Arabidopsis thaliana: one gene and its partner. The protein of the gene in region 1 binds, or shares a complex with, the protein of each later gene. Each region holds a gene or a part of one and is shown on either strand. Other genes may lie near its edges. The genes, in order: AT3G45260 and SCL3. A codon is read from its position in the direction of its gene.

Evidence for each region.
Region 2: the proteins of AT3G45260 (region 1) and SCL3 are in contact, whole or in part, in a crystal structure (PDB 6KPD), measured with the Arabidopsis thaliana proteins. Residues at the interface, in NP_001327332.1 of Arabidopsis thaliana: Met352, Ser353, Ala354, Thr355, Leu357, Leu358, Lys360, Ala361, Ala362, Met364; in NP_175459.1 of Arabidopsis thaliana: Glu48 (codon at 7,826), Gly51 (codon at 7,817), Leu52 (codon at 7,814), Ile55 (codon at 7,805), His56 (codon at 7,802), Thr90 (codon at 7,700), Met91 (codon at 7,697), Tyr367 (codon at 6,869), Ala370 (codon at 6,860), Ala371 (codon at 6,857), Asp374 (codon at 6,848).

Annotation. Positions count from the first base shown.
Region 1 is NC_003074.8:16,590,620-16,606,309, reverse strand, and holds AT3G45260 (C2H2-like zinc finger protein), read left to right. Parts: upstream 1-7,498; 5' UTR 7,499-7,759; coding exon 7,760-7,904; intron 7,905-8,086; coding exon 8,087-8,486; intron 8,487-8,664; coding exon 8,665-9,460; 3' UTR 9,461-9,487; exon of another isoform or gene 9,488-9,560; 3' UTR 9,561-9,952; downstream 9,953-15,690. Other genes in the region: AT3G45275 (ECA1 gametogenesis related family protein), read right to left, coding at 72-416. UniProt on the Arabidopsis thaliana protein: Transcription factor that, together with JKD, regulates tissue boundaries and asymmetric cell division in roots by a rapid up-regulation of 'SCARECROW' (SCR), thus controlling the nuclear localization of 'SHORT-ROOT' (SHR) and restricting its action.
Region 2 is NC_003070.9:18,671,659-18,687,408, forward strand, and holds SCL3 (scarecrow-like 3), read right to left. Parts: upstream 8,643-15,750; 5' UTR 8,346-8,642; intron 8,105-8,345; 5' UTR 7,968-8,104; coding exon 6,519-7,967; 3' UTR 6,036-6,518; downstream 1-6,035. Other genes in the region: AT1G50410 (SNF2 domain-containing protein / helicase domain-containing protein / zinc finger protein-like protein), read left to right, coding at 1,170-1,260, 1,339-1,865, 2,365-2,436, 2,508-2,585, 2,671-3,601, 3,948-4,078, 4,289-4,507, 4,630-5,211 and 2 more; DWF5 (Ergosterol biosynthesis ERG4/ERG24 family), read right to left, coding at 10,517-10,583, 10,676-10,758, 10,848-10,929, 11,006-11,070, 11,180-11,305, 11,692-11,792, 12,022-12,148, 12,279-12,392 and 5 more; AT1G50440 (RING/FYVE/PHD zinc finger superfamily protein), read left to right, coding at 14,441-14,654, 14,730-14,815, 14,918-15,064, 15,466-15,568, 15,700-15,750. UniProt on the Arabidopsis thaliana protein: Probable transcription factor involved in plant development.

The DNA of each region.
Region 1 (15,690 bases):
GATTATTATTATAAATATTAATATCATAAATTAAACTTGTGTTACATTGAAAAAAAAAAGAGAACAACAAATTAATAAGAAGGTGGCTTAAAGCCTATCAATTTACATGTAATCTTAAGCATTTCACGATACGCAAAACGCATAGGAAACAAAATTCCAAAACAGTCTTCGGTAAGACCGAGTAGTATAAAGCAACATTCTTTTTTGACATTTTTAAATTTGAAATGCTTCACTGCTTCTACACAATCCGGAATTTTTCCTGCGTCTGTCGCACAAGACAATGGTTTTGGCAACAATCCTTTTTTTGACATTGGAGCAAAGGCAAAATCATTATTACCTTTCGTAATTTGGGAAATGGATAGCATCATTATCATCACTACTAAGATGGACACAGACACTCGCTTGTTCCCACTCATTTCAAGTGTTTATAGAATTTCTAGTCTGTCTTGTGATGGTAATCGTAACATCTTTCATAGTATTTATAATAGTGTATAATTATGACCCTTTTAGTAGACGATCTATATTGTTTTTTTCTTGGATTTTGTGCATACATGTGTTAATTTTACTAGGACATCTTACCTTTGGGAGAAAACGAATACATTGTATTTTATTAACCATTTGTGATATGTTTCATTATATAAAAGAAACTAATCGATTAGATTTTTTCACATTGTATTATTATCTTTGTTTTTTTTTTCCTGAAAATAAAGTTATTCATTTTCTCAACTAGTAAAAAATTTATCTTTGTTTTAAAAATAGATACCGTTTTAGAGTAAAATAATGTGAAATTATATGCTAAGAACAAATATATATAGTCACATATCTATATAAAATTTTACAAAAAAGATTTCCTTACAAGAAACTTTCATAATTAGTGGTGGCTTATTTTCTTTGTAAGCATTGTCGCTCAAATTACAAACCTCATATTTGACATTATCATGAAGAAAACATGGAAGAAAACAATATATCTTATGATACTGAAAATGATTAAAAAAAAAAGAAAAAAGTGTTTTGATACAAGTAAAGAGATTACGAAAAAGAAAGTGCTAGAGTGTGGAGAGAAACAATATCTTTTTGTTCATTAAATTAGAGATAATAATAGTATTTTAGAACAGTAAACTTATGAATTAGTTCTTAATGATTTTTGTGGAATCTATAACCAGAATTATTTTTTTGCTTTCTCTCTTGCGTCTTTTAATCGAACTGAGAAAAGATGCTCTACGGATCGGACACTGAAGAAGCCTATCTGTTTGCTCACATTGGACCATAACTTGTCACATACCAATAAAAGTTTAAGTCCACTAAAAGAAATCTTGTGTAAATAATATTTCAAACAAAGAAATCCATGCAAATTACTTATAAAAATATTACAAGGATACACAAAACATAATAAGAACCCAGAACAACTTTCATGAGAAATTTATTTTAATCTAATGGTTAAATGTTATTTTTACAGCGGTTCAGTCTCATTACCATGCGTTGTAGAATTTATCGGTATATTCGTTGAGTTTTGTCGATCCAAAAAACTACAAATAAAAATCAAAAATATTTAGTGGTCAATGTTTAGATTGACTTGTACAATAAGCTGCCTATTTTGCTGGTTTCCAGTCCTCAGCCAATAAAGAAGGAAGACATGTACAATGGTTGCTATTATGGCGTCGGATGGTGTCAGCTTGTGTGAGACCTCTTTTTAAGAAAAATATTAACAAAAACTTTGAAAAAAAATCTTTTTTGTCTTTCATAAATTTACCATTATCAGTAAGTCTATTAAAATAGCAAAAGATATAAAATCTTCAAATAAATTTTAAATAAGGATATTGGTAAAAACTCTCTCAAGTATTGGCTGGTCTATTTTAAACCTCAACAGAAAAATCCCTCAGATAATTTCTTCTCATGAAAATACCCCTCAACTAAGTTATTAATAAAATAATATGTCAAGTTAGTTCATAAACAAAAAATATTCATTCATTCTATAATACCTTCAAAATCCCAATACTGAAAAAACTAAGCCTGGGCGTTTAATCCGAATCCGATAAACCGAACCGCATCCGAACTGGGAAAATCGGATTAAAAACCGAACCGAATCCGCTCAATTAACCGTTCGGTTATTGATTTCTATATCCACGGTTATCGGATTTTATCCGATCCGAACCGAAATAATATGGCTATCCGAAACCAACCGAAGAACTTCTTCTATACACTACTCTTTAGCCTTCGAAGTCTGGATCCACTTCCCTTATGATGATTATCAAACAATATGATTCGATCCACTTCCCTAATCTTCTTGATTTTCCTAGCAATACGGGATCCACTTCCTCTAGATTATAACCATAAAACCCTAAGCTCTTTCAATATGGAATTCTTAAGCTCTCTTTCGTCACAATCGCCTCCATCAGAAGCATCAAGCAATCGATCTCGGGTATGTGTTTGAACTTCAATTCTTCTTCTTCATTAGCTATCGTCTTTGTTCTTTGATTCTTCTTCTTCATTAGAAAAAAAATTGAAACTCATTTAAATTGATTTAGTCATATAGCTAATGATAAATTCTTTGTTTGGATTTTAAAAATTTGTGTATGTTGGAGTTAAATTCTTAGTCGATTCTAATCCTCTTGTTGTGTCAATGGATGTTTGTTGAGTAGCAAGAGTATATTTTTGATTGTGAGAGTATAGTTTTGAGTAGTGAACGTATATTTAGATGGATTCTCATTATTCTTATGTTAAAACTTCTCATTATTCTTATGTTTAGATGGATTCATCACCATTTCCAAGCAACAGTGATGTGGGGAATGAGAAAGTGACTGAACCTGAAAGTGATGCTGCTAACAAAAGGAAGGATGTTCAGGAAGATAGTGGAGCTACTTCAAAACCACCTAAGACAAAGAAACCAAGTCAAAGGTCGTTTGTCTGGGACCATTACACGAGATTTGAAGATAATCCTAAGAGATGCAAGTGCAACTATTGTCACAGAACCTACGGATGTGATTCTAAAGATGGGACTTCAAACTTGAAGAATCATCTTCGAATCTGCAAGCATTATCAAGCATGGAGTCAGAAAGCAAAACAAACTGTTTTCAACAATCAGGGACATCTTCAGAGTGGGAAAGTTACATAGGAGATTTTAAGAGAAGCTTCAAATGAGATGCTTGTGCTGGGAGAATTACCACTTTCTTTCATTGAAAGCGCGGCTTGGAAACATTTATGTGAAAAGGTAAACCTCTATGCGCCACATTCTAGGAGAACTTGTATGAAAGACATTGTTAAAATGTATGTGGGAATGAAAGCATCTCTGAAGACTTGGATTGCGACTACTAATCCAAGAGTCTCTTTGACAACAGACATCTGGACAGCTAAAGCTACAGTTGCTAGTTACATGGTGATTACTGCTCACTTTGTTGATTCTGCTTGGAAATTAAGGAAGCTAATCATTGGGTTTAAGTACATTACGGATCACAAAGGTGCAACAATAGCAAGGATTCTTCTTGAGTGTTTGGCTGAGTGTGGAATAGAGAAGATTTTCACTATCACAGTGGACAATGAAACAACAAACACTTCTGCTTTGAAGAAATTTCAAGAAACATTCAGCTTAAGGAGTAATGAAGCATTTGTTTTAGAAGGCGAAGGTATGCATGTGAGGTGTGCTGCTCACATAATCAATTTAATTGTCAAGGAGGGTTTGGTTGAATTGGGTGATCATGTGGCAGCCATACGCAATTCAGTGCAGTATGTGAGGTCTTCTACTTCAAGGTGTGATTCATTTGACCAGAAAGTTGTCTCAGGCAAGATGACTAGAGGGAGTTTACCGTTGGACATCAAAACAAGGTGGAACTCTACTTACTTGATGCTGAAAAGGGCTATGGAGTTCAGGTTGGCATTTGATAAAATGGAAGCTGAAGATAAGTTGTATAATGACTACTTCAATGAAGTAGACGATGGAAAAGCAAGATCGGGCCACCTACAAGAGCTGATTGGAATGCAGTCGAGAGGTTAGTGAGATTTCTGATCATATTCTACAACTCCACTTTGGTCGTGTCTGCTTCTAATTCAGTAGCTTCTTATAAGTGCTATGGTGAGATAGTGACTATAGAGACGAATTTGGTGTCACTAGGCAATAATTTTGACAGGGATCTGAAAATTAAGGCTAAAGCTATGTTAGGAAAATTTGTTAAGTATTGGGATGGAACAAGAAACATTAATGTTTATCTGATAGTTGCAAGTGTCTTTGATCCAAGGAAGAAAATGCAGTTTGCTAATATGTGTTTTGCAAAGCTTTATGGGAAAGATACTACTGATGCTAAAGAGATGGCTGAAAAGGTCAACAATGTTTTGACTTCCTTGTTTAAGGAGTATAGTAGTCGTTTTCAGAAAACATCAAGTGGTAGTGGTCCATCATCACAGTCCACTCAGACTTCGATTACTGCTAGCCAAGGTGAGCCCTCTGATTTGATGTCTGATAGTATGGGGTATGAGAGGATGGACTTTGCTTATAAGGAGTTGGTTGATGAGATTGGGGTTGATGATGGTAGGGACGAGTTAGATGTGTATTTGAAGGAGAAAGTGGAGAATCCTAAAACTATCATTGGATTAGAGTGGGAAGTACTTTCTTGGTGGAAGCTCAATTGTGGTAGGTTTCCTGTTTTGTCTGCAATAACTAAGGATGTCCTTGCAATGCAAGTGTCATCGGTTGCATCTGAAAGTGCTTTTAGTAACAGTGGTCGAGTCATAGAGCCACATAGGAGTTGTTTAACTCATTATATGGTTAAAGTGTTGTTGTGCACAGAGCAGTGGATGAAGAATGTGAATCACTTAGGTAATAAATCTGTTGTTACCATTAAAGAGTTGCTTGCCGACATTGTTGAGCTAGATAACATTGAAAAAGGTAAATTCATCCCTTATGCTCTATTTCAATTCTCTCTTAATAGTTTTAATTGTTCACAGTTTTAATTTCTTGTTTTTCTTGATTACAGAGTTTGATGGCAACTCTGCTTAGAAGACTCTTATCCTCAAACTTTTTAATCGGCTATAAGGTAAATTGTTTTAAACTTGATGTTTTTGATTCATGTATTTCATAGATTAAGAAGTTAAGTATTTTGTTGTATCAAGGTTCAAGAACATGGTGAAGTTTGAGAATGCGGCAAAGAAGAAGCTTGAGGTTGCTGTTGTTGGCTTGTTTTCACTCTCTTTCACTTTTTTTTTTACTACTTTCCAATTGAATTCTGCTACTTCTTCACTCTTTAAGATGTTATGGTTTACTTTTCTTTCAAAACTTTGATGTATTGGCATAGTTTATGCCTCACTTTGGTTTCAAAAACTTTATGGTTTGCTTTGCTATGGTTTCATTTCATCTACTCATTTTTTGCATAGCTCGTTTTTTCGGTTTAAGTTCGGATTAATATCGGTTATTCGGGTTCAATCGGATGTTAAATATCATATTCATACCGATCCAAAATCCAAAATATCTAAACCGAAACCGATCCGAATTTTATAATTATCCATATGGATATTAGAATCTAAATCCAAAATAACCGAAATCCGAAACAACCAAACCAAATCCGATTCGATAACCGAACGCCCAGACCTAGAAAAAACCACCATTGTATTAGTGAAGTAGGAATTTGTTTTCCCAAATCAATTATGTTTTAGCCACTTTTATGTTTTTGATTAAAATGATTTATTCTACAAAAATTTGAAAAGCCCAAGACGAACTAGTTTAGTCCTAGCTGATATTATTTTGGTCAGACACTTTGAACTTCCTATTGCTTTGAGAGAGTACATAAACAAAGTAGACATATAAGTTTAAAGATTTGTTTGTCATTATATTATGGTTTGTATTTTCCAATAAGACAAACAAAATCCAAAAATTATTTTGGTTGGCAGAATCAATGGACTTGTCTTGGATATATAATATATCACCATTTATCCTAATCTATTAATGATGCCCTTCAAATTCTAGACTAGGGAGATCATCAACCTGCATGATCATTAACTATGTTTAAGAATTCCTCCTTTTTTCTAGCACAAGATTACCTTATTTATGATCTATTCAAAATGATCAAAATCATTTCTGGTTTTCTAAAGGAAAACTAAAGTGAATAAGAAAATTCAGAGCAGATTTTGGATAGGGAGAAGGAACAGTATCTCTTTGGCTGAACAAGCAGATGAGATCTATCTTCCTTTTCCATGGGACCCATCCAAACCTTGTCGACCCTTGTGTCTATTTTAGAACTCTACATCACTTCTTTTGGATTTTATTCTTTCTTACCCAAGAAGTAGTTAGGATTTATGATTAGGAACTTAGGTTCTTAGAGACTCTAGATATTATAAGAAAGAATCATGAGATATTGAGATTGATCTCAAGATATAATTACCTAAAAATTCAAAATGTAAATTAATTTTTTTTTTGATTAATGGATCTAAATCTCATAATATCCTCGTGTGGGAGACTAGAGCAGGTTAATTGATGTAAAAGAAATTTATCTAAGCTAAAACACACACTGTACAGAATTAGTTAAGGAATTCTGAGTTATTAGTTAGTATCTTAAAATTGTTAGCTTTAAAATAACAAAGAGGATAACAAAACCTTCCAACTCAATTTTTTATTTTTATTTTGGTTAATTACCAAAAAGATTTGTTTTCAAGTCTGAATAAAACCACTTATGTTGTTTGTAGTCGTCGTACATGGCCTTGGTTTAACCTAGCTATATGTTTTTTATTTATACTTTTCTCCTCGGCTTTACATATATACTTATCGAACTGATTTGTTATATATATAAATGAATTCATTGTATATATATATGGGATGAAAAGAGACTCCGAAAAATCCAAAGAGCCTACAGTTAGAAATGTCATAAAGTTTACACACCTCATAGATAAATTATGCACCCTATATGTATTTATGTATTTGTAGATTGTATTGTACGTATACACTTGACTTGAGTACGTATGTATACTTTGCGTTACGTAGATGGGAGAGTATATAGAGAATTAGAGAGATAGAAAGTGGTCCAGTTTGAGTCTATCGCTGACCGACTTGTAAGAAGAACAGTCGTGTGTGAAGAGAGAGAGATTCCCTCTTCGCCAGCTTTCTTTTTGGTTTTATGCTACAGGACTCTTTGCAAGTGTCCAAAAGCTTACTATCACAAATAATAAAACAAAATTCTATTATAATAAAAATTTGTACCGACGACCCCAAAAACAATCAAAAACAAAATTCTTTTTGAAATTTTCTTGGAAAAAATGGGCATCCCTATTTTTCAAGTCATCAAACTTTTAGAAATATCTAGTGCTTACTTCTCTATAAGTCTTGTGGGATTGTTTTTATTAAGAAACTAGTGTAAAACATTCATCAATTAATTGAAATAAGAATTTCTGATATATAAAAAAACAAGGACTATTAGCAATAGTTGAACTTCTTGTACGCTAACAGCCATAAGAAAATATAATAGTCAGCTTACAAAACCTATATTATAATGGGAAATCAAATAAAATCATAAATTTTATATATTTTTTAAAAAATTAGGTGTATATAAAAATAACTCTCTCTATATAGTATAATGGAAATATATAATTAGTTACATTCTTACTTGTTTTCTTCTTCATAACTCTCTCTGTCTTCTTGCTAGCTCTCAGAATTTTACTTGATTTAGTAGAGAACTGTATTGACGAATTAAAGAGTTTTTCTGTATATCTCTCTGTCCACCTGTTTTGTCTTCTTACTTAGAAACTCTCTCTTTCTCTGTCTTTCAACTAAACCAATATCAGCATGATGATGCCAGATGATCATCATCCCCTCTCATTTCCCAGCTATGTCCTTCACCAAGAACACATCGCTCCAAATCCTAACCCTAACCCTAATCCTACCTCCTCTAACTCAGCCAAGAGGAAGAGAAATCTCCCGGGAAATCCAGGCATGTATATAAATACTTAATCTAAATCTAGGACTTGTCATATAAAATAGATGAATTTCTTGCTAATTTGTTTTTTTTTTTTCGATCAAGAACAATATTCTTGTTCCAGCTTTGGATCTCTTTTTTATTTATCATAAATTAATTCATTGGTTCTTATTTGGTAAATGAAATTTAAACACCAGATCCAGATGCAGAAGTCATCGCTCTATCACCAAACTCCCTCATGACAACTAATCGATTCATCTGCGAGGTTTGCAACAAAGGATTTAAGAGAGACCAGAACCTTCAGCTTCACCGGAGAGGCCATAACCTTCCATGGAAGCTAAAGCAAAGGACAAACAAGGAGCAAGTGAAGAAAAAAGTGTACATCTGTCCAGAGAAGACTTGCGTACACCATGACCCGGCCCGAGCCCTTGGTGACTTAACTGGAATTAAGAAGCATTTCAGCAGGAAACATGGTGAAAAGAAGTGGAAATGTGACAAGTGTTCCAAGAAATATGCTGTCATGTCCGATTGGAAAGCTCATAGCAAGATTTGTGGTACTAAAGAATACAGATGTGACTGTGGTACCCTCTTTTCCAGGTATGTATTACAACACCCTTTTTTAAGTCAAATTTTTTTGTTAAAGAGCGAAATTTAAATTTCATGAAAAACAATGTCATACAACATTTAGTTTAATTTAAATTCAATTGGCTTTAACTAAAATCAGCTAAGATCTCTTTATTGAATTAGTATATATTGGATGATTGGATTGGAACAGGAAAGATAGTTTCATCACACATAGAGCATTCTGTGACGCTTTAGCTGAAGAGAGTGCTAGATTTGTCTCAGTTCCACCAGCACCCGCATATTTGAACAATGCCCTGGATGTGGAAGTCAACCATGGAAATATCAACCAAAATCATCAACAACGACAGCTTAATACTACTTCGTCACAATTGGACCAACCTGGTTTTAATACCAATCGCAATAACATTGCCTTTTTGGGACAAACCTTACCAACCAACGTTTTTGCGTCCTCATCATCTCCATCACCTCGTAGTGCATCCGACTCCCTTCAAAATCTATGGCATTTACAAGGACAATCATCTCACCAATGGCTTCTCAACGAAAACAACAACAACAACAACAACATTCTCCAAAGGGGAATCTCCAAAAATCAAGAAGAACATGAGATGAAGAATGTGATTAGTAATGGTTCTTTGTTCTCTTCGGAAGCACGAAACAACACTAATAATTATAACCAAAACGGTGGACAAATAGCATCAATGTCAGCCACGGCATTGCTACAAAAGGCAGCTCAAATGGGATCAAAGAGATCATCATCAAGCTCAAGCAATAGCAAGACTTTTGGTCTAATGACCTCTATCTTCAACAACAAACAAGCAGAGAATATCAAAACTAAGGAAGTTGATGAAAGAGGTTTCACGAGAGACTTTCTTGGTGTGGGAAGTCAACACCGTTCTTGGCCGTTATTGATGGTCAACCATAATCTTCCAGACTCGTCTCCTCCGGCCTCCACGGACGGCACACCAACCGCCGACATGAACCAGTAATCTTGTATTGTTCATGTATACTATAAGGTAAATTACATTATGTTATATGAGTTTTGAGAAATATCGAGATTCCTCTGTTTATGATATTCTCTAAGTGCAGAGACGTGAAGTATGAGATTCAAGTGACGAGAGGATGGTTTAAGCACGGCGAAGAAAACGGTGAAATATGAGACTTTTGACTCAGGAGAGAATCTCTGAGTCAACTCGGTGTTGCAGATGGGTCCACTCGGTTGATGAAGATGGGAAGCTATTCGGGTCCACTTCTGCATGCATGACGAAACCTCTGACCATGCATGCACAGCAAAACATACGCTATGTCTTTTCTTATTCTTCTTATTCTTCTTTTTCTTTTTCTTGTAATTATTTCATGTTTTAATTTTGAAAGACCCTAAAAGAAACTATGAAAAGTTCGTAGTTTGTTACTTTTTATTTTTTCATCGTAGAAAGGTTAAACTTTTTTTTGAAACTTTGATATCTAAAATTTTTTTTTTTTTTTTTTTAATAAAATTTAAAATTTATTCGAAAAACTTTTGTACAACAAGTGCATCGTTTGAGTAGAAAGTTTGTATTTAAAACATAGAAATCAAAAGAATAGAGACTAATGAGCTACGACTCTATTATGATTTATCTTGAGGAGAACCATACGCTCATGCATGCATCGTAGGTGCGATTCCCTTGCTCTCTTATTGATGAGATGCGGTTTTGAACTTGCTTGCCAAGATTTCGGACTAGATGGACTGATGGTGTTTCAGCTTCACCATGTTTTCGACAATTTCTTTCTTTCCAAATTGAGTAAATCGCCAACTGAAAGACATACCTTATTAAGAAGAGGTTGATTTTTCCAATGGTTTTGTCTATGAGTGTCTTGTGGACTTCACTCCATCTTGTTGTGAATTTTGTGCCAAGAAGAGTACGACTTAGCCCGGACCACACCTCCTCAGAGTTCTTGCATCTAAAGAAAAGATGATCTCGGTCTTCTAATGGTGCTTGACAGAGAACGCATAATGGGCACTCCAGTCCGCCAACGTAGCATTCTGTCACCTGTGGCCAATCTGTTCCTTGTTGCAAGCCATGAGATAAAAGAGTATTTTGGGGTTGAATGGGCGAACCATATACCCTTATACCATTCTGTTCGTGGCTTGGCTTCTCGGATTGCGTCCCAAGTTTCTCTCGTACTAAAAACCGGTTTAAACCGGTCGTCTCTCCCTTTCCAGAGTACTACATCATTTTCTCCAGCGACTCTTTTTTGTCGTGTTTCCTGCAACGCAGTCTCAATATCATTCAAATAACCAAGTCTGTGTCGCCTTCTTCGATGACATTCAAATGCATCTGCCACCGAGGAGTGAAGGCTTATCCCCATATCTATGCATCCTCTATGTCCCGCAATGTCAATTAGTTTCCCAAGTAGGGACCAATTGTCAAACCAGAAAGAGGTGCCAAGTCCATTCTTCACTGTTACTCTAACAAAACCAGCCGCTGAATCACGATACTTAAGCAACTTTTTCCACATCCAAGATCCCAGTGTAGTAGTTTCGCTTATTGACCAGAAAGAAGCCCTCTTGATAAGATAAATGTGTATCCATCTCGCCCAAAGAGAGTTTGATGATAGTAACCTCCAGATTAGTTTATAGCAGCTGACCTTATTTGCCTCATTGATCGATCGTAGGCCTAAACCTCCCTGCTCTTTAGGTGTGCAAACATCTTGCCAGGCTACTTTTGCTTTTTTTTGGCTGAGAGCGGGTCCCGACCATAAGAAAGCAGAGCAGAGTTGGTCTATCTGTTTTGTGCAGATAAAATTACGAGTTGTGCCAGGCCAATTCGCATGGCTTTTTATGAGTATGTCCAGCCCAAAGTCTCTTATGTATATATGTCCTACTTATATAATTAAAATATTTTTTATTCAAAAAAAAAGAGTGCTCAAGGATAGACCCAACATTTGTGACATAAACCACTGCACCATAAGACTTATCATAATTGATGCATAGAGCACCAGTTTGCTGAATTTTATATAAGGGTCAAACCTGCTTACGAGCTTTTAGTATATTGGAAACTCCGTAAGGGCCAAACCTGCTTAAGAGCTTAACAAAAGTATTCCACTGGAGACAGTTTTTCTATGGGCTCTTAATATATTTTTTTATGATTAAAATTCAAAAAAATAGTTGTAAGATAGCTTCTTTTTTTTTTTTTTTTTTTTTTTTTTTTTTTTTTTACGGGTACTGGATTGAGAATGGGCGAGTCTAGGGTTTCGAGCGCAGGGGAGCGGGATGCTACCATGGTGGATATTGGTGTGAAGTCTCGTCCACCGGGAGCACCACCAGATGATCCGGGAGTATGGGTGCAGAAAGTTAAGGGGACTAGTGTGGGAGGAGTCCCGATCCCAGAAGAAGTCATCTCAGAGGAGTTTGTTGCAGAGAGACTACGGGTGGAGTTTCCTAATGGTGAGGATGGTGAGCCGGTCATTACGATTGGTCAAGAAGTGGTGGATGCGATGAATGGTCTGTGGAAAAGGTGTATGGTAGTGAAAGTGTTGGGTCGTCATATTTCGTTGCCGGTGTTGAATCGAAAGTTAAGAGAATTGTGGAAGCCTTGCGGTGCAATGTACGTCATGGATCTTCCACGACAATTTTTCATGATTCGTTTTGAGATGGAAGAGGAGTATCTGGCAGCGCTTACTGGGGGCCCGTGGAAGGCGTTTGGGAACTATCTCATCGCACAAGCTTGGTCGCCTGATTTTGATCCCTTGCGGGATGAGATTGTTACGACGCCGGTGTGGGTGCGGATTTCAAACTTTCCATGGAATCTGTATCATAAGTACATCCTACTAGGGATTGCTAATAGCTTGGGGAAACCTATTAAGGTGGACTTAAACACACTCAGTTTTGAAAGGGGACGTTTTGCCAGGATTTGTGTAGAAGTAAATCTGCAGAAACCTCTTAAAGGAACAGTGGTGGTTAACGGGGAGAGATTCTATGTCTCATACGAGGGGTTAGCGAACATCTGCTCACAGTGTGGTATGTATGGGCACCTTGTTCATAAGTGTCCTAGGGGGGTCTCGCATGGAATAGGGGAGGAGAGCATGAGTGTGGAAGTGACCAAAAATGTTCAGAATCCGGTTGTTCCTACACATGATGGGGATGGATTCACCCCGGTAAGACAAAGGAAGACGGTGGCTCAGGTTAACCGGAATGTGAATGCACAAGGTGGGGCTAGAGTTAATGTGAATCGCAAATCAAGGGATCATGTGAGGAAAAAAGGAAATGAGTTGGTTGTGACGTCGAACTCATTTGGTAAGTTGGGAGAGGATGTGGAAACAGAGGGGAGAAGGAAAGAAATTATTGGTGTTACGGATAATAAGGAGAATGAATATCCCATGAATTCAGTGGTCCAAGATAGGAGTGGGGAGCAAGTTAAGGTTACCAAATTTGTCGCTACAACGGAGGGAAAAGGGAAAGGAGTAATTAGAGAAGGGCTACGGGATAGGCGGGCCTGGAGTCATAAAGCCCATGAGAGTAATGAGCTTTCGGCCAACGGTAAACGTGTGAGGATAGAAGAGATAAGTCTGGGTCGACCAGGAGGGTCATTCTTCAATGGAGTTGACGGAGAACCTGGACATGAGAAACCCGATTTGGTCGGCATGGAAGTGGCGGAGGAGATTAGGCCGAGTTTGGAGGATAATGTAGTGGTTGTGGCGGGAGGGACTCAGGGGGCCGCGCCAGCGTTATCGACGGAGCTCACTCTTCTGTGACGGGTTGCCCCGGTTATTCTTTTTCTTTATCGATTATTAATGATGAATTGCATTATGTGGAATTGCCGGGGGGCGAATAAACCTAACTTTCGAAGATCAGTTTGTTATCTTTTGAAGAAATACAAGACAGATTTGTTGGCGGTGTTTGAGACGCACGCAGGAGGGGCGAGAGCAGATCGGATTTGTCATGGTTTGGGGTTTGAAAATAGTTTCAGAATCGACGCAGTTGGCCAGAGGGGTGGCATTTGGGTACTATGGAGGTCGGAAATTGGGAAAGTTGAGATTAAGGAGTCTTCAGAGCAGTTCGTCTATGCGCGTATAGAGAATGAGTTCGAGATACTTAATTTGATAGTTGTGTACGCTGCTCCTACGGTTAGCCGAAGGAGTGGTTTGTGGGAGAAGCTTCGTGAAGTAATCAGGGGAATAGATGGACCAGTGGTGATAGGTGGAGATTTCAACACAATAGTCCGACTTGATGAAAGAACGGGCGGTAATGGTTGTTTGTCCCCGGATTCTGTAGCATTTGGAGATTGGATAAACGAGTTGTCCCTGATAGATATGGGATTTAAAGGAAATCGATTCACATGGAAGAGAGGGAAATCCCAACAGTTTTACATTGCTAAAAGATTGGATCGGATTCTATGTTGTGCTCACTTTAGGCTGAAATGGCAGGAGGCTACGGTGACACATCTCCCTTGTTTGGCTTCTTATCATGCTCCCCTGTATCTTCAGTTGCTGCCGAAGACGGGATGTGATCCTTCTAGAAGACCTTTTCGTTTCGAAGCGGCTTGGTTACAACATGAGGGTTTCAAAGAGTTGCTTTTGACATCTTGGGATAGAGAGCTGAGAACTCAAGAAGCGTTGAATAAACTGAGAATTACTCTTTAAAGATGGAATAAAGAGGTTTTTGGGGATATCCATTTGAAGAAGGAGAAGCTACTGAAGCATATAACCATCATCCAGGATTTGCTGGAACAAGCGCAAACTGATGATCTGTTGAAGCAAGAAGCTGAGTTAATTAAGGAGCTAGACATGGTGCTTGAGCAAGAGGAGATGTTGTGGTATCAAAAGTCACGTGAGAAGTGGGTGGTTCATGGTGACAAGAACACGAGCTTCTTTCATACCTTTGCTATCATTCAACGCAGGAGAAATCGAATTGATATGTTAAAGGACGAAGAGGATAGATGGGTTGTGGATAAGGCGGAACTGGAGAAGTTAGCTCTTGAATACTATAGACGACTCTATTCGCTGGATGATGTGGATCCGGTTGTTGACAGATTGCCAAAAGAAGGGTTTGCGAGGCTATCTACTACTGATCATGTTAATCTGAACAAGCAGTTCTCTGTGGGAGAGGTAGAACAGGTGCTGCGTAGTATGGGTAAATTCAAGGCCCCAGGTCCTGATGGTTATCAGCCAATTTTCTATCAAACTTGCTGGGATGTCGTAGGAGAGTTGGTGAGTAAGTTTGCTCTGGATTTTTTTGAAACAGGACAGCTACCTGCTAAGGCTAATGATGTGATTGTGGTGCTCATAGCAAAGGTCTTGAAACCAGAAAAAATCACTCAGTTTCGGCCTATAAGTTTGTGTAATGTGCTTTTCAAAATCATTACTAAGACAATGGTGGGGAGGTTGAAAGGAGTTATTTCAAAACTAGTAGGGCCAGCTCAATCAAGCTTTATTCCCGGAAGGTTGAGCACAGATAACATTGTGGTTGTTCAAGAGGCAGTCCATTCAATGCAACGAAAGAAGGGCAGGAAGGGATGGATGCTTCTTAAACTTGACCTAGAGAAAGCCTATGACAGAATTCGTTGGGATTTCTTAGAGGATACGTTATTGGCGGCTGGTTTATCCGGAGATTGGGTGAATTGGATTATGCAGTGTGTGTCTGGTCCTTCTATGAGTTTGCTATGGAATGGTGAGAAGACTGAATCTTTCACGCCGTTAAGAGGACTTCGACAAGGGGATCCTTTATCACCGTATCTCTTTGTTTTGTGCATGGAGAGACTATGTCACTTGATTGACAATGCGGTGATGGAGAAAAAATGGAAGCCGATCAGCCTGTCTCAAGGCGGACCGAAGCTCTCTCACATTTGCTTTGCTGATGACCTTATTTTGCTAGCAGAGGCGTCAGTAGCTCAAATCAGGATTATCCGAGGGGTGTTGGAAAGATTCTGTTTGGCGTCAGGCCAAAAAGTCAGCTTAGAGAAATCGAAAATCTTCTTTTCTAGGAACGTGTCTCGGGATCTAGAAGGTTTGATATCTACAGAGAGTGGGATAAAATCGACACGGGATCTAGGTAAATATCTTGGGATGCCGGTCCTTCAGAAACGGATAAATAAAGACACGTTCAAAGAGGTGCTTGAGAGAGTATCGTCGAAGTTGGCAGGTTGGAAAGGTGGGAGTTTAAGCTTCGCAGGAAGACTTACTCTTACTAAGGCGGTGCTAAATTCAATTTCCGTTCATTCTATGAGTACAATTAAGTTGG
Region 2 (15,750 bases), on another chromosome or scaffold:
TGGATATGTCGTTTCTCATATATGGTGGATGTGGATTCAAGATCCATGTATCTTAAAATTCCAGGAAATATTAGTAGTGTCCACCTTGATTAATGTAAATGATATCTCGGAAGCTCAATTTTTTTTATGTCAATTAGTATTTTTGAAATTATAATTTACTTTTATATAAGAAATTTTTAGTGATATATTACATTCAAAACCAATAAGAAACAGTACTAGTAAATTTTATAACAATTTTTTTTTTTGATTTCATACCCATTTTATGGAGTGAGAATTCACAGTCTAATTTGTTTAATTATGTTCTCAATGATTTTTTTCTTTTTTTTGGTCAACAATCATCCTTAATATATATATATATATATATATGTGAAGTTGAAATAATATGGGCCGAGAGGTTTGGGCCTGGTTCTGTTTTTTTGTTCCTACTATTAATTTAATTTATTTGTTGAGATTTTTCCTCGTTTTTTAAAAAACCGATGAGAGCGTATCTATATTTCTTTTTTCATTTTTCTCTCCGATCAAAACGCCGCCGTTGCGTCTCTGATTCTTCCTTTGGGTCAACTGAGGAAAAAACCCTTCCTATGAAGAACAACAATTGGCTTCACACTCTCTCTTTTCTCAATTTTGCTTCTTACTTCTTTCCCCGGTACTCACTGATTCTCCCCAATTTTCCTTATTTCGTCGTGCCCTTAGGGTTTCTTACATCGAAAGTTTGGTTTTTGATTATGTTGTCCCGCCATTGCATGACGTTGTTCTGTTTTGTTCTGTCCTAATTGCTTATTTGGGTTTCTGAATAATCTTCAATTGGAGTTTTTTTTTTGTTCAAGCTGAAGAGTTTCGGTGATCGTCCTCTAGAGATTGATGCTAATTTTTTCAAACATTACAAAGTTTCCAAAGCCACCGCCCACTTGAAACATTCTTTTGGTGATTATGATTGTTTATATCGATTTAGCATTACTTTACAATAAGCAAGTGATTCTCTTCATAAAGTATGTAGCTTTACTTTGTTTGATCCTACTCTTTTGGTAATCTTAGTTTCGGATTTGCCTTTCTCGCAATAACAGAGCGCTTTGTAAAGTTTTGCGTTTTAGATGATTAACATTCCTTTCTTGCGTATTTCAGGCTGATTAGAAACTTGACCGCTTGATTCTCTTAAAGGAGGTCTTGCGATGGATTCCGCTATTGATATCAGTTCTGATAGTGATGTCGAGATACAAGAAACTAGAACCAGGCCTCAACATCCCCCACGGATAGCTGAAGGTTGCATTTCTGACCTATCAATTGTTTTATTTGTTTTGCTGTGAGGTTAGCTTTATGGAGTTGTTGATCTTGGTGCAGGATCTCATAGAAGAGATCTCTCTACGCTGAGACCGCACTTTCTTAGTGGGAGTTCTTCCGGTGCAAATGGCCACACTAAAACAGGACTTACAAATCTCGACTCACGTAATGGTTTTGAATCCAAGCCACTGCCTCGGGCAGAACACCATACACATATTCCGGGAAATGGGAGTATCGTAACTTCCAGAATTCCCAATATCTCTGTTGGTGATTATGAGAAATTTTCATCTCAACAAGCTTTTAAAAGGACACATCCACCAACCTTTAGTCGACCTCCTTTTCCTCCTAGACCTGATATTGGTACAAGTAACGGGAATGCGAGTCACTTTCGTGGTGGAGCACATGATGATCTAGGCATGGGGCGTGTGACTAACGGCACTCGGATCCTACCTCCATCTGTGGCGCACGGAACATCTGCGTCTCCTTCACATTTTAATGGATTAAGTGATCCAATGCATAGGAATGGCATAGGCGAAGAAAGGAATTCGGAAAATGACGAGAGGCTGATCTATCAGGCTGCACTACAGGTGTTCATCCTTATCCCAACTTTTGACTTTTGCGATTCTCATCTTAGTTTTTCTTTTGTGCAATGCACTTCTCTTTTTCGCCAGCTGTGGGGTTGTTGAACTTGGCCATTGAATGATTGGAATAGGCTCGTTTCTTCCTGTTTGTTTTATGTCAGAAATGAGTAATAGGTTTTTAAAGGTTCGGATGTCTCAATTTCTCAATGATGCTTGAGACCGGGTAACATGCTGAATTTCTCTGTTTTAGACCATGTGTATGGAAGCATTGTTGTTCTTCCTTTTTGACAAACGAGAAGGAATAGGAACATTCACTATTGTTGCATTCGTCTCTTATTTCGCACTGTTGCATCAAGGTTATGATTTCCATTTGAAGAGTTTGGTGTTTTTGCATAATTCCCCTGGTATGAAATGGTGTGATTTAAAAATAAAGACTTTTGCCCACAATATGAATTGGTGTGATAAGTGCTTAAACTTCTGATAATTAAGTACATGTTTTCTGCAGGAACTGAATCAACCCAAGTCCGAGGTCGATTTACCTGCTGGTCTTCTTTCGGTTCCCCTTATGAAGCATCAGGTATTCAGGTTTACATCATCTTTCAGTATCTGTCAGAATGGTCTTGTGTACTTAACACTGTTGTTTCTCAGAAAATTGCATTGGCATGGATGTTTCAGAAGGAAACTAATAGTTTGCACTGTATGGGAGGGATATTAGCTGATGATCAGGTTACTTTTAATCGTAGTTATTTTCCGCTTAACTATCTATGATCTTACTAGGTTTCCCTCAAATTCCATTTGGTCTACTGCACAGGGCCTTGGTAAGACAGTCTCGACTATTGCGCTTATCCTAAAGCAAATGCACGAGGCAAAATTAAAGTCCAAGAATTCAGGCAATCAAGAGGCTGAAGCATTGGATCTGGATGCTGATGATGAGTCAGAAAATGCATTTGAGAAACCAGAGTCTAAGGCTTCAAATGGTAGTGGTGTGAATGGTGATTCAGGCATAAAGAAAGCCAAGGGAGAAGAAGCGAGTACTTCAACACGCAAATTCAACAGAAAGAGACCAGCTGCTGGTACTTTAATTGTTTGTCCAGCAAGTGTTGTGCGGCAGTGGGCAAGAGAACTTGATGAGAAGGTTACTGATGAAGCCAAACTTTCTGTTTTAATATACCACGGCGGTAACAGGACCAAAGATCCTATTGAACTAGCAAAATATGATGTGGTTATGACAACTTACGCCATTGTTTCAAATGAAGTTCCAAAGCAACCCCTGGTTGATGACGATGAGAATGATGAAAAAAATTCTGAAAAATATGGTCTCGCTTCTGGCTTCTCCATCAATAAGAAACGGAAAAATGTAGTGGGTACTACTAAGAAGAGTAAGAAGAAAAAAGGTAACAATAATGCTGGCGATTCATCTGACCCTGACTCTGGTACTCTAGCAAAAGTTGGGTGGTTCAGAGTTGTACTAGATGAAGCTCAAACAATTAAGAATCATAGAACCCAGGTGGCAAGAGCATGTTGCGGTCTTCGAGCCAAAAGGAGGTGGTGTTTGTCTGGAACACCAATACAAAATACAATAGATGATTTATACAGCTATTTCAGGTTTCTAAAATATGATCCATATGCTGTGTACAAGTCATTCTGCCACCAAATTAAGGGTCCAATTTCCAGAAATTCCCTTCAAGGGTACAAGAAGCTTCAGGCTGTTCTAAGGGCTATAATGCTACGCCGTACGAAAGGTATTTTAACTATCTCACTATTCCTTTTAGTGGTTGGATTGGTGAGGGACAGGACTTGACAAAAGTGGTATATCATATGTCATGCATTTTCTTATTATATCTGCTTATATCTTAGATACTTTATAATGAGATTAGCTGTGATCTTACCTGAGCCATTACCTAATGATAGTCCTAAAGTTAAGTCCAATACTATTCTTCGGTTTGTGCATTTTTCCATTTCATTTTACTCTGATCTTCTGCTTTTAGATGATATATTTTTCATGTTACTCCTCTTATCCCTCAAGTAACTGTGTTGTTTTTGAGGGTTTCTGATAAGTTGATACTCTTCTTCTGATCTGCGATCTAGGAACATTGCTTGATGGCCAGCCTATAATTAATCTACCACCAAAGACAATTAATTTGAGCCAGGTGGACTTTTCGGTAGAGGAGCGGTCTTTCTACGTGAAGCTTGAATCCGATTCCCGTTCTCAGTTCAAGGTGCTCTTTCTGTGCTCCTCCAAACTATCAGTTTATCCTTGGTTTATAGCTGTGATCTGCACGTTTTTGAAAAATATGATACTTACGTAGTAACTAGCAACTTGATATGGTATAAACATAGGTTATGGAGGCATTTTCGTTGAAAAAAATGTTTTGCAGTGATTCCTGATTTCCTGTCAAGTATGTGAGATGATATTTTTTTCTCTGCAGGCATATGCTGCTGCAGGAACTTTGAATCAAAACTATGCAAACATTCTTCTCATGCTTTTGCGACTACGCCAAGCTTGTGACCACCCCCAACTTGTTAAAAGATATAACTCAGATTCTGTTGGAAAAGTATCAGAAGAAGCTGTTAAAAAACTCCCTAAAGAGGATCTAGTTAGCCTGCTCAGTCGCTTAGAATCGTCTCCCATCTGTTGTGTCTGCCATGTAAGTGCATAATAATTTAGCAAATATAAGTAGCGTATCTTCAGGTTCGCCATAATCTAAGTCCCTAGCTGCTTGTTCTGATTTTCTTTACCCATAAATTCCGTTTTATTTTCTCTTTGCAGGATCCACCAGAAGACCCTGTTGTTACTTTGTGTGGCCATATATTCTGCTATCAGTGTGTATCAGATTATATCACAGGGGATGAGGACACGTGCCCTGCGCCTAGATGCAGAGAACAGCTTGCGCATGATGTTGTTTTCTCTAAATCCACGCTTAGAAGTTGCGTTGCTGATGATTTGGGTTGTAGTTCCTCAGAGGATAATAGTCATGATAAATCAGTTTTTCAGAATGGCGAGTTTAGTTCATCAAAGATCAAAGCTGTCTTAGATATTCTGCAGTCGCTTTCTAACCAAGGCACTTCAAACTCAACACAGAATGGTCAAATGGCTTCTTCCTCGCAGCAGCCGAATGATGATGATGATGATGATGATGATGATGTCACCATTGTCGAGAAAACGAGTCTGAAGTCAACTCCTTCTAATGGAGGACCAATAAAAACGATTATATTTTCTCAGTGGACTGGTATGCTTGACTTGGTGGAGCTATCTCTAATTGAAAATAGTATAGAATTCAGAAGATTAGATGGTACAATGAGTCTAATTGCCAGAGACAGAGCTGTGAAAGAATTCAGCAACGATCCAGATGTAAGTCGTATGCATATCTGAAATCATTTTTTCCTAAACAATTTTCTTAGTGGTGGTGTATGTGTTCCCTCCTTTTTTTGTTTTTTTGTCTTAAACAGGTAAAAGTGATGATAATGTCTTTAAAAGCTGGAAATCTTGGGCTGAATATGATTGCTGCATGTCATGTCATTCTTCTTGATCTATGGTGGAATCCAACTACTGAAGATCAGGCTATTGATCGAGCACATCGTATTGGACAAACTCGACCTGTTACTGTAACTCGTATTACGATAAAAAATACTGTGGAGGATAGAATTTTGGCTCTCCAGGTAAAGATCCCTTATAGCTGATACTTGTTTCCCCCCTCAGTTTCTCTCATTTGTGGTTGTGTGATTTTTGGTTATTATTATAGGAAGAGAAAAGAAAAATGGTTGCGTCTGCCTTTGGTGAAGATCATGGTGGAAGCTCTGCAACTCGATTAACAGTTGATGATCTCAAATATCTATTCATGGTGTAGCTGTTCTTAAATCTTGGGTTGGCGAAGTTTCGCTTCTTTCAGAATTTTGATCATGAGCTGCATTCTTGTGTTCTTCAGGTTCACAGATTTGAAATGAGGAAATATGTAAATAACTTAGCTGTTGTCTCATAGTATATATAACATCAGAGTATATACTTTTTCTGAATCAGTTCATCCGAGATCTTCTTTCCTTTTGGGATCACATTACTCTTTCAATCTTATTATCAAGGTGTTTTGATCATGCAACACTTTTGCATGAGAAACACTCTGTGAATTTGCTAAGACAAGATAAAGACTAGATTGCTTAAACAAAATTCAAATATAAATGAAGCAAGAAGATTAGGTTAAACTAGATTCAATGTAAATGAAGCACGTGAACTTTAGGTTACAAAGTATTTGGACAGCAGATAAGTCGTATACTCTTTGGATAGTGAACATGTCCTTTAGTAACCTAAATATATATACCGAGTTTAAGTTATTTACAATACACAAATGACAAGATCACCTGCTTAAAGATAGGCAAAGTTTGGCTGGTCTCTGAAAGAATTTGGAGTTCTGAACTTGAACCGATCATCAAATTAGTTATCTTCAGCTCAAATTGGATTTGGTTTGGTATTACACCCACACCAGACCAAATTGAACCAACACACAAAGGCTTTACATGCAGAGGCAGTAGAAGCATTTAAGCCAAAATAGCATAAAGAGACAGAAAGTCACCATCACAAAACAACTAAGATTGTGTCCCCATGTATACAAAAAAGAAAGGGACTCTGCTCATAACCAAAATAGAAGACAAACTGTAATATATCATTCACTTCCTGCATCTCCAAGCTGATACCGAGTATAGAGGTCGATCTTGCCAGCAAATTACTGCGCACCCGCTCTCTTCCTTGATTCTATACCCATCAAAACCGCACCCTTGAAGCAATCTCCTAGCCTGCAACATCGCATAATAGCTAAGAGGAACATTCCCAAAACCAGCCAAATCGATCCTCTGGCTCCATTTCTCAAGCTTCTCGTGTCTTTCTCTTCTCTCAAATCCCTCGCAGGATATGATGTTCTTGATCTCCTCCCCGAAGAGCATCTTCTCCACTTTGATCCTATCTTGAGACGTTCTTGGAACTTTTGTTTCCAAGCAATCAAACAATGCTGCGTAGGTGTAAAGTGATTCTAATAGCCTCTCCATTAGTGTGGAGCCGTTGTGGTCTGAGTCTTGCTCAGTGACCACCATGACCTTTGGAGACAAACCCCAAATAGCATTGAGGAAGCTATCAGTCCTTCCTGAACTTGGTAAAGGCAAAGATGAGGCCGAGTCACCGCTAGGGCTATACCCATTGTTGTTACTCATATCATTCTCACGTGCCTCAGCTGCAGAGCCATGGCTCATCATTAGAACTCTCTGCAAGTCAACTCCACTAGGGTTGTTCTGAAACCGTAAAGCGCAGTTCTTTCTCATGAGATCATCATCAGAGGCCAAGAAGGTATGCAATTGAAGAACCGAGCTAACGGCTAAGGCCTCTCCTGTTTTAACCCGCAACTGTTCTACATTTAAACAGTCTAACCTACTCACAACGGGATTAAACTGAAACGGGATATCGAGTTTCTCTGCTTCCTCAATGAGTCTATGAGCCATTTGTTCAAGCACTTCCTTCTGGTGATGAACACCAGTGATTCTCAAATGAGGTGGACCTTCAGGCCTAGAGTTAAAAGCTTGAAGCAAAGCAAGCCATTGAGCTGGCTCAGAAGCATCGAGATCAATCACATGAACCATCTTCTCTCCTTCCATAGCCTCGAGTATAGCTCGATTAGTGAGCAAGTAAGAGACTTTGAGTATCGGGAACATCTCAAAGAAGAGTCTTCTAACATGAATCTCCTCAGAGACATTGTTAGTTCTTGTCTGAGTTGCGTTAAGAGCCTTGTAAAGACCAGGCCAGGACTTAAGGATTCTGTTAGCAAGCGCTTCGGTGAAGTAAGCAGCGATTCGCTGCATCGTGTCGCCGTCAGGAGAAGCGAGGTGAGAGAGCTGCTCGAGCGCTGCGTTAGCGTTTTGGAGGCTACCTGAAGCCACGTGGTTGGCACAAGTTAGCAAGAGGTGGATTAAGTAGAGACCACGCTCCTCTGGTTTGAGATCTTTGAGACAATGAAACGGAGATGAAGAAGCGAGGAGAGTCGGTCTGTTGAGTGACATAGTTGAGAAGACTTGAAGTGGTGATGAAGCTACAGAAGATGTTCCATTATCTTCTTGAAACATAGCCACCATTGAAGGCCAAAAGCTTGATTTTGATTTACTCAGAACCAAAAGTAACCTTTTTTGTAAAGAAAGATTTAAACTTTGAGAGACTCGTAACGAGAAGAACCAAACCCACGATTCGGAATTTCTTGAAAGATGCAGAGAATCTGCAGTTTAACAAAAAAGGGGGTTAAAGAACAGAGGAACTAGGGTTTGCAGAGAAAGTACTGAATTTTAAAAACCTTTGAATCTAGTTAAACTATTTGAAATAGATATAGACGAAGAAACACAAACAGAGAGCTGAATTAAAACTTTCCTAATTTGATAAACTAAGAAAGAAACAAAACAAAATAATAGCAAATGATCAAAGAAGATAACAAACAACAATAACCAAAGAAAAAAACTTACATGGATTTAGAGAAAATGTCTAAAGCTTTTTTTTTGGGAGTGAGAGGGTTCTCTCAATCTTTATCTCTCTATCCACGTCTCTGGTGGTTATCTTGTGAGTAATAGCGTGTGTGTGAAATGTTGTTTGTGTTTTGGGAAAAAACTTTAAGAAAGAAAACACTAAAACAGAGGCATTGTTCCTTTTGGCTCTACGTACCAGACAATGCGTGATAGTCGGTTTTGTCTTCTTCCTTTTTGTTTTTTTCGTTTCCTCTTTCTTCTTTCCTTGGTTTTAAGGAATTATTAAACAAAAGGTTGTCAAATTTTCCAATCCCATCCATCTATCTTATACTATTATGTGTACTAGTACTACATGAATGAATATCATATAAGAATACGTATTTTGATTTTGAGTGCTCTTAAAGTGGTGTAACATTAATAAATAAAACTGAATGAGAGTGTATTAGCTTATGTTGCATTTATAAATAAAACTGAATAAGAATACATCCATCAATCTTATACTATTATGTGTATTAGCTAATGTTGCATTTTCATTTTCTTTTAAATTTGTAAGACTTGTAGGAATTAGTCTTATTGATTATTTTTATAGTTATTATTTTATATAAAGTCAAGATAAGAGAAGTTTCACCTAGAATTTTCTTGATTTAGAGGAACTAAGAAGAAAAAGCAACACTTAATTATGAAGGAAGAAGAAGTTCAATGAACCCATTTGGCATTATACAAATTGGAATTATCTTATAATAGATACATACACGAATACAACATATATGTCTGTATTCGAGATTGGAACCTCCACTTTTATGGGTTTTTGTCATGGCATGAGGTGGATTTGGAATCATGACTATATATTTCTACATCAAAAAAATTGTTAAAGAGAAAAAAAGAAAGCTGTTTTGGTAAAATATTGATTCTGAGAAGAAGGAAACGTCCAAACACGCCCTAACAAAGACAAAACAAAACCCAAAAACCATCTCTTTTGTTTTTGTTGTTTTGTTAGAAAAACAAATAACAATAAAAGAGATGAGGCTGAGGCTTGGGTGTGGGATTTGTCTGTCTTCTTTAAATGTTCATTGTCTTTTCATTACTTTTCTCTTTGTCTTTTTCTTCTTTTTAATGCCTACATTTTTGTCTTCTTCTCTTCTTTCTCTCTCTCTTTGTTTTTTACTGTGTGAGAGAGAACATTATTCAGTTTTTAAACTAAAAAGACCATTGACCAGAGAGATTCTACAGAAAAAGAATGATGCTATTTTACTACTATTGTACCTCAACTTTTTTTTCATCTTATCAATAGTAAAATAGTACTATAAAGTGAGAAAAATATGCATCCATAACAACACAGTAAAATTGTTTTAGTATGAAATTTGTTTAGCTTTGACTACAAATTAGAGAATGGTAAGTTTTTGTTATTAAAAACTTTGTAGTTAGATCTCATGATATCCAAACATAGAATCACAATTTTGCTGAAGGAGCTTGGTACGAAGACCGCCTCAGAAGTAAATGATGGTTCTGTTTTAGCAACTTTGGATGCTGCTACTCGGGTTGAGCTTCTGAGCTCCCCTTCTTATGTCTTTTTGTTTGAGCATTTGTCCTCGTAGCTTTTTGTGTATACTCTCCACGTGGAGGCAACTCTCGTTTAAAGTTGAATGAAATGTTAGTTTGACCAAAGAAAATAAAAAATAAAGAATCACAATTTTGTGAAAACTGTGTAATAGTAGTTTTGTGGATCCTCCAGAACACCAATTAAGTCTAAAAGTGAAGTCAACTTGATAATGTCGGTGAGTTCTTTGTGATTGAAAAACTGAAAGAACACTATCAATTCTTTGTGATTATTCATGTATTTTATAGGGTTCAAGTTCAATTAGTGCCTGTACTTATAAAAGACTTCATTTGATGTAGTTAAAATATTAGATGGATGAATCAACTTATTTGATGCATTAAGAAGCAGTATAATCAAAATATCAAATAATAAAATTAGAAAACGGCAGGCTAACTTTGATAATCTAGGGAAATACATAAGTGTAGCTAGAGATTTGAAAACCTATAGCATACAAATCAGCAAAAGAATGTCTATCGCATCAATTTGCATTTTTGTTTTGGCACGGTCTTTTGATGATTCCAACGTTCGAATTAACGTAATAAGTAGAAAATGAGAACAACAGACTTCGTTACAATCAATAAATTCCCGGAATGATCCTGTATTTGACTTTCTCACAATACAGCTTCCAATATTTCCCATACCTTTTTACCAAAACAAAACCCGAATATTGTCAGCAAATCAGAGTAAGATCAAAGAGGATGTGTAAAATAAATCATTTAGATTTGGTGCTTACTTTGATCGGCATCGGTCATCGTCTCTCTTGGCTCGATCAAAGAGAAGAAGGGTGAGAAATATGACGTAGAAGTATGCCAAGAACTGGTTTAAACAAAGATGATTTATATGTTAAGTGCGTTTAACTTGCAAGAAGAGCTTCGAATATAGCAAATAGATGGATAGTATTTTACGTTATCGAAGAGAGCCGGTACGGTCCAGAAGAAAGCACTTAAGATCTCAGGAACATAATGGAAATGACGAGCCAATCCCCACCTGCACATTCAAAGCCATTGATGATGAACAACGTCTACTTTTATGGTTGTAACTGTATAATGTAGAATAGTCTCACCATCCAGACGTTAAGAGAAGACTAGTTTTAGTTTCACCAGATGTTGTAGTATACGACGCCACAATCTGCAACAAACCGAGAGACCAAGAGAGATTCATACACATCAAAATGTTTAGGTCTGAAAAGGAATATAGCTAAGTTCACTAAGCTAGTTGGGGCTTATTATGATCACACCTTTGACGGGGCCCTTCCCCAAACCAAACATTTCCCGTTTGTCCTCCTGAACTCTTGCCTTTGTCTATCACAGTCATAGTTTATGTAAATGCACAGAATTCCTGCAACGAGAATGTATATTGCCAACTGCAACCAAAGACGGATATAGTGAAGTCTTAGGTACGGAGATAGGCATATATGTCCCGATGATCGTAGCATCAGTGGTGTTTTCATGAACAGCTTTCTTCTACTACTAGAAAAACTGATATCTGGCAACTACAATCATGAGCATAATATGCAACGAGCATTTGATCAACAATCTACACTTTACTCTCTCCCGTCTGTTTTGTAATGGAAGATACCAAGTAATTCAATAACAAGAGTTAAGTGCAATTCCTAGAAATTGGGATTTTCACATTTAGCTCAACCTTACTTGTTTTTTTTCGTATAAAAAAGTGGTATCCTAAAAGTTTCTCATTGGATTAACACACAAAGACGATTTCTCTCTTCTAGACAAATTCAAAATTATGCACCTGAGTTCCGAGTTCGACGGGGTGGTTCACAAGGTACATGCCTGGAGAAGTGTAGACAGAAGGCACCCACACTAGACAACCCCAGCATATATAGAATCCAGCTGAAGAATCATAAATTATAAAGCATTGAAAAGTAAGCTTAAGTTCATGTGTTAAAGCCAGTAACAATAATCTGAATAATATGCTGCTGCCTTAGCCATATAAACAGAACTGGCAAGGAAATTATAGCCAAACAGTAGAGAAACTTTTGTTATTACTACTGGCTTTCTTTCCTTGTACCCTATATGAGGATGTGATGATATAAATTTTATATATGTACCAGAAGCATACCTCGGTCATGTGCAATGTCCATGGTGTTCCAATAACCAGCTTCCCACCAGAAGAATTTTGTGACATACACCAGCATCAGGATGGTGTTCACCAGCATTGAATCAGATACTTTGCCATTTATTTCATACTGGTTAAAGAAAGTACAGGAATCACAAATCAGAAAGAGGTGAAGCTCTCTAATGAAATAAGGACTTAAAGAAACCACCAGACTATGTCGTCAGAGTGTAGTATTTACATAAGAATTATCCAGAAAATACCTGTTTTATGCAGTACGTGACTGCAAGAACTGCCCAAGACATCATTCCGAATCTGCAATTAGTAAACACCTTGATGTCAAAGCTCTTACCAATTCGAGGGTACAACTCCATGCCCTGCAAAGCACGACGCGAAAAACACAGTGAGAAAAAGATTGCCACAAATTGGATTGTGTTAATGATAAGTTGGAGCAAAAGAGTACATGGTGAGAGAAGATCTCAACTTGATATTGTTATAATAACTACTGGATACTTTGTTCTTTTCCTTCACCGACAGACATTCACACCAAACTAGTTCTCTTGTACTTAAATCAATAAAAAGATAAATACTGCTAAGAACATTTCCGTTTACAGGTCTACTAAAATTGGAAACTTTAGTGAAACTTGACCTCCAAATGTCGAGAAAAGAGGCAAAAATATTATGAGGAGATGGCTAGTAAGACCAGAGTTCCTCAAATAAATCCCAACAAGCAATTTCAAAAAGAATGAGAATCTGATCAGCAGAAATAACTCACCCAATAGAAGTCAATTATTAGGTTACCACATGAACCAGAGTCACTTGATGAAGGTGCAACATGGCCCTGTACAAGAAAAAAAAATAAGTTTTAGCAACACAAAAGGTCAAATTCTACAAAAATAGAGACTAAGAAAACAAAGAACACACCATTCATGCAATAGACACTTACTTTTATGTACAACAAAACACAAAATATGAAGCTTCCGAATATTAGTGCCGAAAATATTTCACCCAAGTGATCATAGACAATTGCAGGGTTGAAGATTCCAAACCTGAATAACGCACAGAAATGAACTCACATAGGTGCAACACTTAATCCAAGCTTAAGATACGTAAACAATAACTTAAACCAAACCAAAGTCATCGGAAACATTTCTTACCACCAAAGACCAAGATAGGTTGCTAGTGTCACAAAGTAAGCAGCCAGACCATTGGCCTGCAAGAAAAGAACCGTACAGTTGTCATCTGCATCAACTTCCACCACACAAGACTAAATGAACATACCTTGTAAACTGGTCGGTTTCCGGCTGGAGATATTGGACCCTCAACTCTTTTACCAGGCAGAAGCAGCTGAAGAATAGCTTCAAATGCTCCATAGCAAAATATAATTTTCCAAGCAATCAAAGTGGGTCTTGGCCATATGTTGATAAGTCCTTGAACTCCATTCTCCCAAAAGAAGCCAAAGGTCTGAGTAACAGAACCATCCTGATGAACCATTGTGTACCATCTGCATCATAAAGAAATGAAACTTGTGAGCATTACTTAAAACTCACTAAATATGATTTTGTAGCTTTAAATCTACCCTTGTTTCCTAAAAATCTGGAAACTCACATTGGCCAGAGAAAGAATCATTGAATCGCTTTTTCAATTAAAGACTCTTATCAAGTCCTACTTAATGGGAAAGGATTTAAAGATATCGGCTATGCACTTCTCGCTATGAATTAAGGAGCCAGAAAAGTGTGCGAGTCTGATCTGAGAACTAGAATAAAGACTTGCGAATCAGAAATTGATGAGCTTACAGGAGAATGACGAAAGGTGGACAGAAGGCGAGAAGCGATAACATCGATGCGTAAGTAACGATCGGAGAATGTACAGTCTCCGCCATTTTCTTCTTCTGCTTCTCTCGTCTCGGCCAAAGCCTCAGATTCTGATCTGTGTTGACTAATCAACAGAGTCTGCGAAGTTAACGATGAAGACGATGAACTTCACAGGTCTACTGTGAAACTCAGATAAATCCCACGTGTCACGTGCTCTCCACATGTTTTTTCTAATTCCAATTTTACCCTTGAGACTTTTCTTCGCCATCGTTTTTGATTGATCCCAATCTTCTTAGCTTCTTCTCTCTCAACCCTCAAAAGATCTTCGTCATCTCTGTATTCAACACATAGTGATGAATCGAGACTAACAAAATCAAATTCTCTTCACTCTGATTCGCAGTCATAGTTTACCAATTTCTTCTAACTCGCAAGCAATGGCTTGCCTTGGAAGAAAATTCTCCAGAATTGGTTGAATTCGTGTAAGTATCGATTTTTTCTAATGTTTTTGGTAACTCCCGGCGAAACCTAGATCTAGTTTTCTGATGCTGTGTTGAATTCTTTTGCGTTTCTCAGTTTTTTTTCATTTCCAGAAATTTTAGTATGTTTAAGAGATGCAATTAGTGCCTAGTGATGATGATGATGATAGAAAGGAACAGATTTTATTCGACGAATCAACATCCTCAAACGAAATCGTAGCAGCGGAAAGAGGAGATCGTGTTGTGGAGGAAGGACAAGTTTCAGAAATAGCTGAGACTGATGATGACGAAACCACACTTCTTGTTTCTGGAGATCAACCACAATGTCGAATTTGCCTTGATGTTGGAGGTATAATAAAAGCAATTCCTTAACTCAATTGAGTGAGGATACAATGAGACGACTTGGTTTGTTCTTTGATTGCAGGGGAAGATCTGATTGCTCCGTGCAATTGTAAAGGTACTCAAAAGCACGTTCACAGATCTTGTCTCGATAATTGGCGCTCCACCAAGGTATATTATCGTCACCGTTTCCAGAAAGTTTCTTCTTCTTTTGAATGAATGGTTTACTTAGCTTATGAAGTGTATTTTGTTTCTATGCAATATATGTTTCAGGAAGGTTTTGCATTTTCGCATTGTACAGAGTGTAGAGCCTTTTTCAAACTCCGAGCCAATGTGCCTGCTGATAGATGGTGGTTGAGATTGAGATTTCAGCTGCTGGTTGCTAGAGATCATGCCTTCATCTTCATTTCTGTCCAGATGGTACATGACTTGTTTCCTTTTTTTGATTTTAGTGTTTAATACACTTTCTTCTTCTATGATGTTACTAGCTTCTTGACTCCCAATCTCCCATTTTATGACCAAATTCGTTGTTTCCTAGCTATAAAATTGGTCATATAGCTAAGGATTTGCATTCTCATGATTGAGTTTAGTGTTTATAGACTTTCTTCTATAATGTTACTATATACTAGAATTCAATCATGAGAATGCAAATCCTTAGCTATAATTGCCACATAGCAGTTTATGACCAAACTATTGGTTTCTTATCGCATTTGAACACCGAAACAGGAGATCCCTTGTATGAATTCGGATTGGATGATACATTTGATGCTCTTAGTGAATGCATTTATATACTAATGAACAAAGGCTTCTCGTATCAACAGATTGTAGCATTCTTGGGGTTACTAGTTTACAAGTTCTACGGTGAAGAACTACGAGAAATGTTTGGTTATGAGGAACATCCTTATGGGTTCTACACATTGGCTGGTACAACTATTTTTGTTTTCTATAGGCTCATGGACATTAGCCCAGTCACCAGGATTAGAGTCAATCAGAATCATCTTTGTGCTGAACCACTTGAGCGTATAATGAACATGATGGTCTATTTTTTGTTGCAGTTTTGGCCATTGTCTTGGTAGGACTGCTATATGGATTCTTCATCGCCATAA